Oryctolagus cuniculus: one gene and its partners. The protein of the gene in region 2 purifies or fractionates together with the protein of the main gene of each other region. This does not show direct contact. Links are inferred from orthologs where the notes say so. Each region holds a gene or a part of one and is shown on either strand. Other genes may lie near its edges.

Region 1 (3,743 bases), on a different chromosome or scaffold from region 2:
TCCCCAGCTCTGGGGCAGCCGTTGTCATCACGCGGGGAAAGCCCTCCCTCGGGACTCCCCTGCCTCCTAGGATGAGCCGGGGCGCACGGGCAATGCGCCGGGCTGGCCAGATTCCAGACAAGCCACATGCTTGTCCCATTCTACTCAAACCTCGACTCCCACGGCCCCTCGAGGCCCGGCCCCTCCTGTGATGGTTCGGCTGCCTTCAGCCCGCCCCGCCTGCGACCCCCGACTCCCGCTGAGCCTCACCCAGGACCTGCTGCTGAAGTCGGGGCCTCTGGCCTGGCGTGCTCCTCCCTCCACCTCCCCGACGCGGCCCTGTCCTTGTCCCGTGCGTGGGCTCCCACGGAACCAGCGCAGGATCTGGCCACACCCCAGCCTCGAGGGTCCTGAGTGCTGAGCCCGGGCGGCAGGCCCAGGCTCGGGAACCCCACAGCCCGCAGCCACCCGGCTCCAGCACCTACGAAGTCCCGGGACCGGAGCCGGCACTGCGGTGCACGGAGCACAGCGGCCGCCTGCGACGCCAGCACTCCATCAGGGCCCTGGTTCAGTCCCGCGGCCCCACTTCCCATCAGCTCCCTGCTGTGGCCTGGGAAAGCGGCGAGGACGGGAGACCCGGAAGCAGCTCCCGGCTTCGGCCTGACCCCGCCTGGCCACTGCAGCCACTTGGGGAGTGAACCAGCAGACGGAGGACCCAACTCTGCCCTTCAAAAAATAAAAGCAAAATCTTCCTTAAAATGTTCCAAGATAAACATAATAAAAAATTACCAAAAAATAGTTCAAAGATAAATAGAATTAAAAATCACGAAAAGGTTCAAAGAGAAATAGAATTTAAAATAAAAAAAAAAAAAAGCCACGGGCTCCTGGACAGGCGCCGGCTCGGAGCTGTGGCCCAGCGAGACCCCGCCCCCCGCGCGGGCGGAACCACGCGGCTCCAGCCGCAGACTGGAGGCCCAGAGGGGTGAGGCAGCTCGCCCAGCAGCACAGCCAGAGGCCAGAGCCGCGCCGGCACCACCCGCGGCCTGGCCGGCCGGCGCCGCACCACGCAGGCCCTGGCAGCCGCGCCCCAGGGCCCTCCCTGCCCTCACCTGGACGGCTCCCCAGGCGCCACACGGCACGCAGGCTCCGCCTCCCCAGCCCTGTCCGTGTCGGACCGGTTGGTCCAAAGGCCCAGCCCAGGGCTGCTGAGGCCCCGCGAGGCCCACGGGGAGCTCAGCCAACAGCTCCAGCGCCCGCGTGCGGGCGTGCGGGCGGGCGGGCAGCGCACCGGGCACGCAGCAAGGGCAGGCCGAACGCAGGCGGTGTGCGACACGGGCCGTCGGGGACCCCGCCAGGGGCGCGGCAGGGCCGGGCTGTCAGCAGGGGCATCGGCAGGCTAGCGCCTGGACCTGTCCTGGAAAGGCGCGCCCGGGGTGGGTGTCCGTTCACGGTGGGGGTGCTGAGCGACGGGTGTTGTGAGCGACCGGTGGAGCCGTGACAGGTGGAGCCGTGAGTGACAGGTGGGAGTCCTGAGTGACGGGTGGGAGTCCTGAGTGAGGGGTGCAGTCGTGAGTGACAGGTGCAGTCGTGAGTGACAGGTGGGAGTCCTGAGTGACAGGTGCAGTCGTGAGTGACAGGTGCAGTCGTGAGTGACAGGTGGGAGTCCTGAGTGACAGGTGGGAGTCCCGAGACGGGTGGGAGTCCTGACGGGCGTGTCGTGAGTGACGGGTGGACTCCCGAGTGGCGGTGTCGCTGAGACACGCGGGCGAGGCTGTAAGAAAGGCGGGCTGGGCCGAGGGCCGGCGTTCGCCGTCGGCACAGAGCAGAGCCCGGCGCGGGGCAGTGAGACGGGGCTCCGGGGGGAAGGGCCGGCCCAGCGCCCACCGTCAGCCGGAGGAGCCGGAGACCCCAGGGCTGCGCACAGAGACGCAGGCAGCCCCTGCTCACCGCACGGAGAGGCGCAGGACGCGGGGGACGCGGGGCGGTGGGTGCCCCTTCCCGGCTCGGGCGTGGGGGCGGGGGGCCGGGAGACCCCCGAGGAGCCGGCCCGGGCTCTCCCCGCCGGCCCGGGCGCGTCCAGTGCAGCTCCACCTCCCGAGCGCCCGGCGGCGGGCCCAGGCCCGGAGCCGGCGGGGCAGCACACGGGCCGGCCCACGCCCTCGCAGGACGCACCTGCGGCCGCCCCGCGCTGGCCCGCGGGGACCCGGGCGGGGGCTGCTCACCCAGTTTCCGAAGCCGAACTGCTCGATGGCGTCCAGCAGCAGCTGCTCCTCGCGGCTGGTCCAGCCGCCCTCGGCCTCCGGCCCCCAGAGCGTGAAGCGCCCGCCGTCCACCAGCTGGTAGCCGTGGTAGCGGCGGTGGTGGCCGATCTCGGCGCCGGCCGAGAAGCACTCGGGGCACAGCTCGATGTCCTGGCACTCGGTGCAGCGGAAGCGCAGCGGGCTCACCTCGGCCAGGCAGTACACGCAGTACTTCTTGCCCAGCTCCGCCATCTTCGCCCGCTCGCCGCCCGCCGCCGCCGCCGCCGCCGCGCCGCCGGCCGTCAGCGCCGGGCCGCCCGCGGGGCCCGCCGCCCCGGCCGCGCACGAGCCGCCGCCGCCCGCCGCCGCCACCGCGGCCGCCGCCGCCCAGGCGCCGCCCCGCCGCCGGCCCGCCGGGCCGCGGCCCGCCTCCGCTCGCAGGCGCCCCGGCCCGGCCCGGCCGCCGCCGCCGCCGCCGCCGCCGCCGCCACAGCCGTCGCCCCGCCGCACCGCGCAGGCGCCCCGCGCGGGGACCCGGCCCGCCGCTCTGCGCCTGCGCGCCGCGCGCGCCGGCCGCCGCCTGCCCCCGAGCCTGCGCGGCGCCCCGCCCCCGGCCTGGCGGTGGGAGAGGGGCGGGCGGGGAGGGAGGCGGAGCGCCACGCCCCTCGCGGCGCCGGCCTACGCCCGCTCCCAATCGGTTCCGTGCCTCTCCCGCTCGCGGCTCGCTATTGGCCAGCGCTTTCAGGGGGCGGGGCTGAGGGGGCGTGGCGTCGAGCCGCTGGCGGGCCAATCGGCGGGCCCACCGCGCGCGCCCTTGGTTGCCCCGGGAAACCTAACAGCCTGCGGCCGAGGTCCGCTGCCCTGGCCGAGCCGGTCGGAGATGGACGACCACACGGAGCACAGGGTCAGCACCATGGAGGAAAGCGGAGACGAGGCAGGCCTGGCCTGGCGCCCATCCGACATCGAGGCCAGCTCCGGCCCCCGGGCTCCGGGTGAACCTGCGGAGCAGGAGCCGAGGCCGGAGACGGAGGAGGAGGGGGAGGGTGAAGAGGAGAAGGAGGAAGAGGAGGAGGAGGAGGACAAGGAGAAGGAGAAAGAGGCGGCAGAGGCCCCCGAGCGAGGCGCCCCCGTGGACGAGCAGGCCGAGGCCGCGGAAGGGCCGGAGGCCCCGGAGGCCGCGGGCGAGGAGGGGCCCCTGGAGCCGGGGAGGCTGTCCACGGTCGGGGCTGAGGAGCCGGCCAAGCGGGCATCGGAGGCCCGGCCAGAGGCGGCGGAGGAAGAGGAGGCGGCGGCGGCGGCGGCGGGGGAGGAGAGGAGGGCCCCGTCCCGCGCCTCCCTGCGGGCGTCCACGGCGAGCGAGGCTGCGCCCGGGCCGCCGGCCGAGGCGGCGACCGCGCAGGCCGAGGCGGCGGCGCAGGAGCGGGCGGGCGACTACGAGGACCTGGAGTGGTCGGCCGAGGTGCAGCAGCAGCAGGAGCGCCAGCTGCGCAGCGAGCTCCTGGAGCAGTACCGCGCGCTGCTGGC
Region 2 (3,732 bases):
GCTTGGGTTCAAGTCCTGGCTCTATTCCCAATGCCAGCTTCCTGCTAATGCACACCCTGGGACGAAGCAGGTGATGGCTCAAATAGTTTGGTCCTTGGCACACCTGTGGGAGACCCAGATGGAGTTCCCAGCTCCTGGTTTTAGCTTGGTCTAGCTTAAGTTGATGTGGGCATTTGAGGGAGTTAACCACTGGATGGAAGACCTCCTTGTCTCTGTGTTTTTCAAAAAAATAAATACATTTAAAAAATTATCCTAACCTTTAATCTGCACTGTATACAAGAATTTGCTTTCTACGAATTCCCCTTGTATTCTACCTTTTTAAAAAAAGGAATACTTTTTTTTTTAACATTCTTACCTTTTTAATTAAGGACTTCAGCCTGTAGTTTGGAGCTGTTAAGCAGTATCTATCAGGTGGAAGTCTGGGTCCTGCATATGGCTTAATTAGTGGCAAAGGGGTTTGATTTTTCTGTCTTGCAATATCCAGCAAGAACTAAAGAAAAAAATCCTTATTAGAACTATAGTTTAAAAATGTTAATTAAATTTAACTTCAAATAAATATTTGCTCACATCTCTTGGAGGAGGAGAGGTAAAAGACTGGTCAGCACGACACTGGATTGCCAGTCTCACATCATCTGCATCAACATTAGGTTTCTTAGCATGGCTTGAATAAATTTTTGCATCATCCAGAATTGTAGTCACATATCCTTTAATAACAAAACAATTTTTTCTTAAACATGAAGATAACTTAATATTTACAGCCACTGCCTTAATAAAAGGTTCTACTAGTTTCTAAAAAGTTTATGAATTTTGGTTTTGAAAGCCAATAACACAAGCTTTTCAAATTCACAAGTCAGACCAGTTTTTGGTGTTTGTGAACTTACGGAAAGCAAATTCCAACATTTGATTTATGACCCTCGGTTCATACTCTGTGATTCCCATATCCTTCAGGATCTGTGCCATCACCTGTGGAGTCCAACAGAAATGCCAGATGCATAATCCAGGTATCAGAAATGAAGGCTGGACAAAAGCTAGCTAGTATTTCTAATTATGAGACAAGGACCCCCTTCTCCGGGTTTCAAACTCCTGCTCCTGATTGTGCTAACAAGTGTCAGTGATCACCCAAATCACGTCATACACTCTCGCCAAAAAACTTCTATTTTATTTTATTTTAGCGGGGGTGAGGGCTCTGAGAGAGAAAAAAGGCCAGGGTTGGCGTTCCCAGAGGAGGTAGGGGTGGCTCCAGCTGGTTGTCATTTTCGATGTGGCAGGAGGGGAAGCCACTCTATCAGAACCCAGGGCTGGCGGACTGGGCGGCGGGGGCCCGAGGCCCAGGAGATAAAATCGGGCGGCCGGCCAGTAAACTCGGTTGAACTGCTACCCTCCGGCTGGGCTCGGCCAGGGCGGCAGGAGAGCTCCTCAGGGTCCAAGGCGAACCGTCATCACACTCTGCCGCCGGCCGCCCCGGCTGGGCTGAAGCGAGCGCGCGAGCTCGCGCTCAGGCCCTCAGCCCGGGCCTGCCTCACAGGTGCCCTGCCGCGCCAGGCTCCGCGCCCCGCCTCTCAGCCTTCGCACTTACCAAAGCATCTCTCGGAGCGTTCTTGGGAGGCGCCATCTTGCCCGACTCCATGTTATCCTGACACTCGTCATCCGGGGAGAGCGGGCTACTCACAGTCTCCTCGCTCTGGCTCCACCCCTACGGGGGCCGGGAGGCGGGGTTAGCTCACCCGCCCGCGGCCGGCCAGGCAGCCAGTTCTCAGGCGCTGCCTCTGGGAAGCCGGGGCAGCCTAGAGCCACTCTCGGGCGCCCCAGACAGCGGAGAGAAGGAGCTGGATCGGGAGGAAGACAAGAAGTGGGAGAGCCTTCCCTGGGGAACACTTCCGGGAGCTGAACGACTTAAGAGTGCCGAGAAGTTGTTCTTCTTACAGCTGGTCACCAGCAAAGGGCACCACATGAGCCACCCTCGTATCTCCCCTGCCACCACCGTGGCCCCTCCCTGCTCCCACCTGCCCCAGCGTTGGGCTCCCATGATCAAACAGAACCCAGGTACATTTGAACTTCACGTCAACAATGAGCATGCTTTTAGTGTTAAGTATATCCCAAACATTGCTTGGGCTATACTTACACTACAGATTTAGTTGTGGATCTGACATTCAAATTTAGTAGGGTGTCCTGGTTTCAAATTTGCTAAGTTTGGCCATCCTGCCTGGTTCTCCACACAATAGCACAATAGGACTTGGGTTAGCTCTTATCACAGGAAAGGCTAGCGCCTCGCCTCTGACGGGCATCATGGGTCCTCCTGGAGCCCCTCCAGCTCCATCCCGTGGTCCGTGGTCCTCAGCAGCTTCCTTTCAGTCCCAAAGGAGACTCTCAGAGTCCTTCCTTACCTCACAGATGCCGCCACTCCCGCCTCACTAGAATCACCTAAGAACTGTCCATCTAGCCCGAGTAACTTTCAAGAAATACGTACCAGCCAACCACCTGGCTTAAAATGACTCAGAGAACGCTTTCTTACTTTTCTGCATCTACCAATGAATGCCCTAGCATCTGCCATCTTAGACTGCAAATGGAGGAGGCAGCCATGTTGCTGCTTTCCCTCAGCGGCCACACACCAGCAAGTTCAGTTAGGGAGATCTCTCTCCGAATCTCTGCCCAGTTCCACCACGATAACAAGTCCAAGCCAACTGCCTTACTGAAATTACAGAAACTGACCCCCCCAAATACTCATAGTGCTCCTCCAGTTTTCGTACAACCACAAATTAAATTTTGACTTCCTTAAAGCCCTCCAAGGGCTTCCCTTTCTTTCCCTCTCTCACACTCACACACAAATTCATACTGATTTCCCAGGCTTAGCAGACCCTGAAGTTTTGGAGAGTGGTTTACCTCAGAGGAGTCTTCAGACTCGGTTTTGCTCCAGGAAGCCATCTTGAGTTTGATTAGCAGCACCCCTCCGCACCCCTAACCCCCGCCCCAAGAACCACGTGTTCCCAATACATTGTTTCCAGTGGGAACATGCGTTCCCTCTTCCCAAGAACGCCTTTCTCCATCTTCTCCATGGCCAACTTCTGTGTGAAGCTAGTTAATGATGTTCCTTGTTTGAGTAGTAGAGTCTAAAATTAAAAAAAATTTTAGGAAAAAGCAAGGAAAAGCAAGCCTCTTTCACCTGTTCCAGCCTTTCATTTTGCATTCACAGAAGGCACCACTGTTTAGCAGTTTCTTGTTTATGCAATTTACAAATAGTACATTTCCCTCACCCAAATGTACTATAATCCTAGGGTGACCAGGCTTTAGAGAGCCAACTTGACACAGCTGTACTAGACACAAAAACAAGGTAAAGCCAACCCTCACAAAGCCACATAATATATATGTTTGTTATATATGTGTAATTACTTGAAAATAAGTGTTCTCTTGAAACTATATGCTTTTTTCTGCTTTCCACTGTGGAACACACTCAAACTACTGCTCTCACCTGCATGGACCTTCCCAATAACATGTCCTTGTCATGCACAAAGATATGCATTGCAGGTGCTGACACAAATTTTTTTTTTATTTTTATTTTTATTTTATTTATTTTTTTTTTTGACAGGCAGAGTGGACAGTGAGAGAGAGACAGAGACAGAGAGAAAGGTCTTCCTTTTGCCGTTGGTTCACCCTCCAATGGCCGCCGCGGCTGGCACGCTGCGGCCGGCGCACCGCGCTGATCCGATGGCAGGAGCCAGGAGCCAGGTGCTTTTC
Region 3 (3,643 bases), on a different chromosome or scaffold from region 2:
TAACAATGAGATCCAGACTGAGTTTCATTGGCCCAGGTACACAAACACAAGTAAACACATTGCTTAAAAAGGGAGACAACTTGGGGGCTGGTGCTGCAGCGCAGTAGGCTAAGCTTCCACCCGTGGCACTGGCATCCCATTTGGGTGCCATTTCTTGTCCTGGCTGTTCCTCTTCTGATCCAGCTCTGTTTATGGTCTGGGAAAGCAGTGGAAGATGGCCCAAGTGCTAGCCCACCGTACCCGTGTGGGAGACCCAGAATAAGTTCCTGGCTCCTGGCTTCAGATCAGCCCAGCTCCAGCCTTGCGGCTATTTGGGGAGTAAACCAGTGGATGAAGAAAAGGAAGAGACCTTTCTCTTTGTCTCTCCCTCTCTGTAATTCTACATCTCAAACAAATAAATCTTTTTTTTTTTTTTTTTTTGACAGGCAGAGTGGACAGTGAGAGAGAGAGAGAGAGAGAGAGAGAGAAAGGTCTTCCTTTGCCGTTGGTTCACCCTCCAATGGCCGCCACGGCCAGCGCGCCGCACTGATCCGATGGCAGGAGCCAGGTGCTTATCCTGGTCTCCCATGCGGGTGCAGGGCCCAAGGACTTGGGCCATTCTCCACTGCACTCCCGGGCCACAGCAGAGAGCTGGCCTGGAAGAGGGACAACCGGGACAGAATCAGCGCCCCGACCGGGACTAGAACCTGGTGTGCTGGCGCCACAAGGCGGAGGATTAGCCTATTGAGCCACAGCGCTGGCCCAGTAAAATCTTAAAAAGAAAAACACAAGAAACAAAACAAAACTTTTTTTTTGAAAAAAGGGAAGGCAGCTTTCTTAAGCAGAGGTGAAGCAAATTTTGAGACACAATTACCATTAGTGCCACTCTGTTAAATAAATGGATCCATCTGGAAACAACAAACAGTAATTTAGCTCTAAGAGAACCTTCTAGGGCAGGGGTGGGGAACCTTTTTTCTGCCAAGGGCCATTTGGGCATTTATAACATCATTTACAGGTCATACAAAATTATCACCTTAAAAATCAGCCTACTATAGATGTAATGAATTTTGAGTTGTGCCTGAGGCTGCCTTGGCAGGCCCTGAGCAGATCACCTCACAGGCCTTACACAGCCCTGGTGCTGGACATGCCCCACCCCTGCTCCAGGGCGAGGGACAGCAGACCCACAACACTGGCTATGGTACTCACTGCAGCTGTGGTACAATCCCAGAGCTCTCCGAGGCCGGTGTGGCAGGAGTAATAGGGGTCATGGGGGTCATGGGGGAAGGGTAGAGGGGAGTGGTGCCCGGCAAGGGTGCGGTTGTAAGAGTCTGTGAATGGAAGAGCTGTGGTGTCTGGCCTGAGACCCCCTGCGCCGCCTGCTGGGATGTAGACTGCTGAACCGCAGCCGCAGCGGCTGCCACAGCCTGTTGTTGTTGTTGTTGCTGCTGCTGCTGCTGCTGCTGCTGTTGCTGCTGCTGCTGCTGCCTTTGTTGTTCTTCCAAGATAGACAGACTATTGGTGTTCTGAATAGGCTGCGGTGTCAGTCCTGTGCCGTAAGGCATCATGGGACTAAAGATGGGGATCCCAGGAGTCATGGCGCCCTGTGGAAAGCAAGGCAAATGCCAGGTTAGACTGGCTGGTATTGCATGTCTGTGAAACATGCCTGGTGGAACAGGTAGGAGGTATAAAGACAGACACCCCTCCAGGGATAACAGGATCACTAAACTTGACCAGAAAGGTCTTAGAAATATCACTTTCTTCTTTTTTTTAAAAGATTTATTTGAAAGTCAGAGTTACACAGAGAGAGGAGAGGCATAGAGAGAGAGAGAGAGAGAGAGGTCTTCCATCTGATAGTTCACTCCCCATTTGGCTGCAATGGCCGGAGCTGCACCAATCCAAAGCCAGGAGCCTAGAGCTTCTTCCGGGTCTCCCACGCTGGTGCAGGGGCCCAAGGACTTGGGCCATTTGCTGCTTTCCCAGGCCACAGCAGAGAGCTGGATGGGAAGTAGAGCAGCGGGGTCTCCAACTGGCGCCCATATGGGATGCCGGCGCTTCAGGCCAGGGCGTTAACCCACTGCGCCACAGCGCCAGCCCCCACTTTCTTCTTTAACAGTAAATAAGAGCTTACAATTTGGAATCCCACTGCTGCTTATTACATGCAAGAACTTGAGAAAGTTGCTTAACCTTTCAAACATATCTAGCAGATAATAATGATCTGAGAACATTAGAAAGAATAAGGGAGATAAACAGAGTGAACATACTTCTCTGCTTAAACTATTATCCTGGGGCTGGCACTGTGGTGCAGCGGGTTAACGCCCTGGCCTGAAGCACCAGCATCCCATATGGGCGCCGGTTCGAGACCCGGCTGCCCAACTTCCCATCCAGCTCTCTGCTATGGCCTGGGAAAGCAGTAGAAGATGGCCCAAGTCCTTGGGCCCCTGCATGAGTGTGGAAGACCCGGAAGAAGCTCCTGGCTCCTGGCTTCGGATAGGCACAGCTCCGGATGTTGTGGCCAATGGGAGAGGGAACCATCGGATGGAAGACTTCTCTTTCTCTCTGCCTCTCCTCTTCTCTCTCTGTGTAACTCTGACTTTCAAATAAATAAATAAATCTTTAAAAAAAACCCTATTATCCTAGCATATAGATAGCATCCCATCTCAATTGAAATGGATACATTCCAGGTTAGATGATAACACAATGATAGGCACACAGGAAACACTGAAGTATTGGCCACAATCATGATTATTGGAATAATATTCAAAAAGGTTGATCACTTGCTCTTGCAAAAGGGTAAACCAACAAAATTTACCAAATATATGTTTACTTTTTTTTTTAAAGATTTATTTATTTATCTGAAAGTCAGAGTTACACAGAGAGAGAAGGAGAGGTAGAGAGAGAGAAAATTTTCTACTTGCTGGTTTACCCTCAACTGGTTGTAATGGCCAGAGCTGAGCTGATCTGAAGCCAGGAGCCAGGAGCTTCTTCCCGGTCTCCCACACAGGTGCAGGGGTCCAAGCATGTGGGCCATCTTCTACTGCTTTCCCAGGCCATAGCAGAGAGCTGGATCGGAAGTGGAGCAGCCAGGATTCAAACTGGTGCCCATATGGGATGCCAGCACTGCAGGTGGGGCTTTACCTCCATCAGTTTACTTTTTACTTCTAAGTATTTACAGACAAAGGTTACACTTAGTAATTTACAAAAAAGCCTTTGGGAAACACAAAACAGCTATTTTTCCTATATTAAAGATAAGAAACTGACATACCCAAACAAGTTAAATGACTTGCCCAAGATCACAGATCTCATGAGTAGATGAGCCAAGATCACAGCCAGGGTTTCCTGAAACCCAGGCCAATGCTTTCCCGCAACACCAAAATCCTGGGAGCCCACAGAGACTGAAGAGCTCATGATGTCCTTGTGACCCTCAGTGTTACATGCGACATTCTGTGTATTTTCTGGAGAAGGTCTACAGTTTTCGTTACATTCTCAAATACATCTAAGACCCCAAAAAGTGTCAAACTGCCTCACCAACATAGTAGCAGGAAAATAAAAGGGGAGCGGGCTGGTGCTATGGCGTAACAGGTAAAGCCACCGCCTGTGGTGCCAGCATCCCATATGGGCGCCAGTTTGAATCCTGGCTACTCCACTTCCAATCCAGCTCCCTGCT

What was found.
Region 1: the proteins of TAF9B (region 2) and TADA2B purify together in Homo sapiens (affinity purification with mass spectrometry; 3 studies listed by BioGRID and IntAct, counting the BioPlex papers as one, with this or other methods). This does not show direct contact. The link is inferred for Oryctolagus cuniculus from reciprocal best matches to the Homo sapiens genes TAF9B and TADA2B.
Region 3: the proteins of TAF9B (region 2) and TBP purify together in Homo sapiens (affinity purification with mass spectrometry; 3 studies listed by BioGRID and IntAct, with this or other methods). This does not show direct contact. The link is inferred for Oryctolagus cuniculus from reciprocal best matches to the Homo sapiens genes TAF9B and TBP.

Annotation. Positions count from the first base shown.
Region 1 is NC_091433.1:3,121,802-3,125,544, forward strand, and holds the start of TADA2B (transcriptional adapter 2-beta), read right to left. Parts: upstream 2,706-3,743; 5' UTR 2,472-2,705; coding exon 2,202-2,471; intron 1-2,201. Other genes in the region: CFAP184 (cilia- and flagella-associated protein 184), read left to right, coding at 3,100-3,743. UniProt on the Homo sapiens protein: Coactivates PAX5-dependent transcription together with either SMARCA4 or GCN5L2.
Region 2 is NC_091453.1:71,910,707-71,914,438, reverse strand, and holds the start of TAF9B (transcription initiation factor TFIID subunit 9B), read right to left. Parts: upstream 2,906-3,732; 5' UTR 2,881-2,905; intron 1,694-2,880; 5' UTR 1,628-1,693; coding exon 1,577-1,627; intron 964-1,576; coding exon 882-963; intron 705-881; coding exon 568-704; intron 491-567; coding exon 356-490; intron 1-355. UniProt on the Homo sapiens protein: Essential for cell viability. TAF9 and TAF9B are involved in transcriptional activation as well as repression of distinct but overlapping sets of genes. May have a role in gene regulation associated with apoptosis.
Region 3 is NC_091436.1:47,772-51,414, forward strand, and holds part of TBP (TATA-box-binding protein), read right to left. Parts: intron 1,581-3,643; coding exon 1,186-1,580; intron 1-1,185. UniProt on the Homo sapiens protein: The TFIID basal transcription factor complex plays a major role in the initiation of RNA polymerase II (Pol II)-dependent transcription.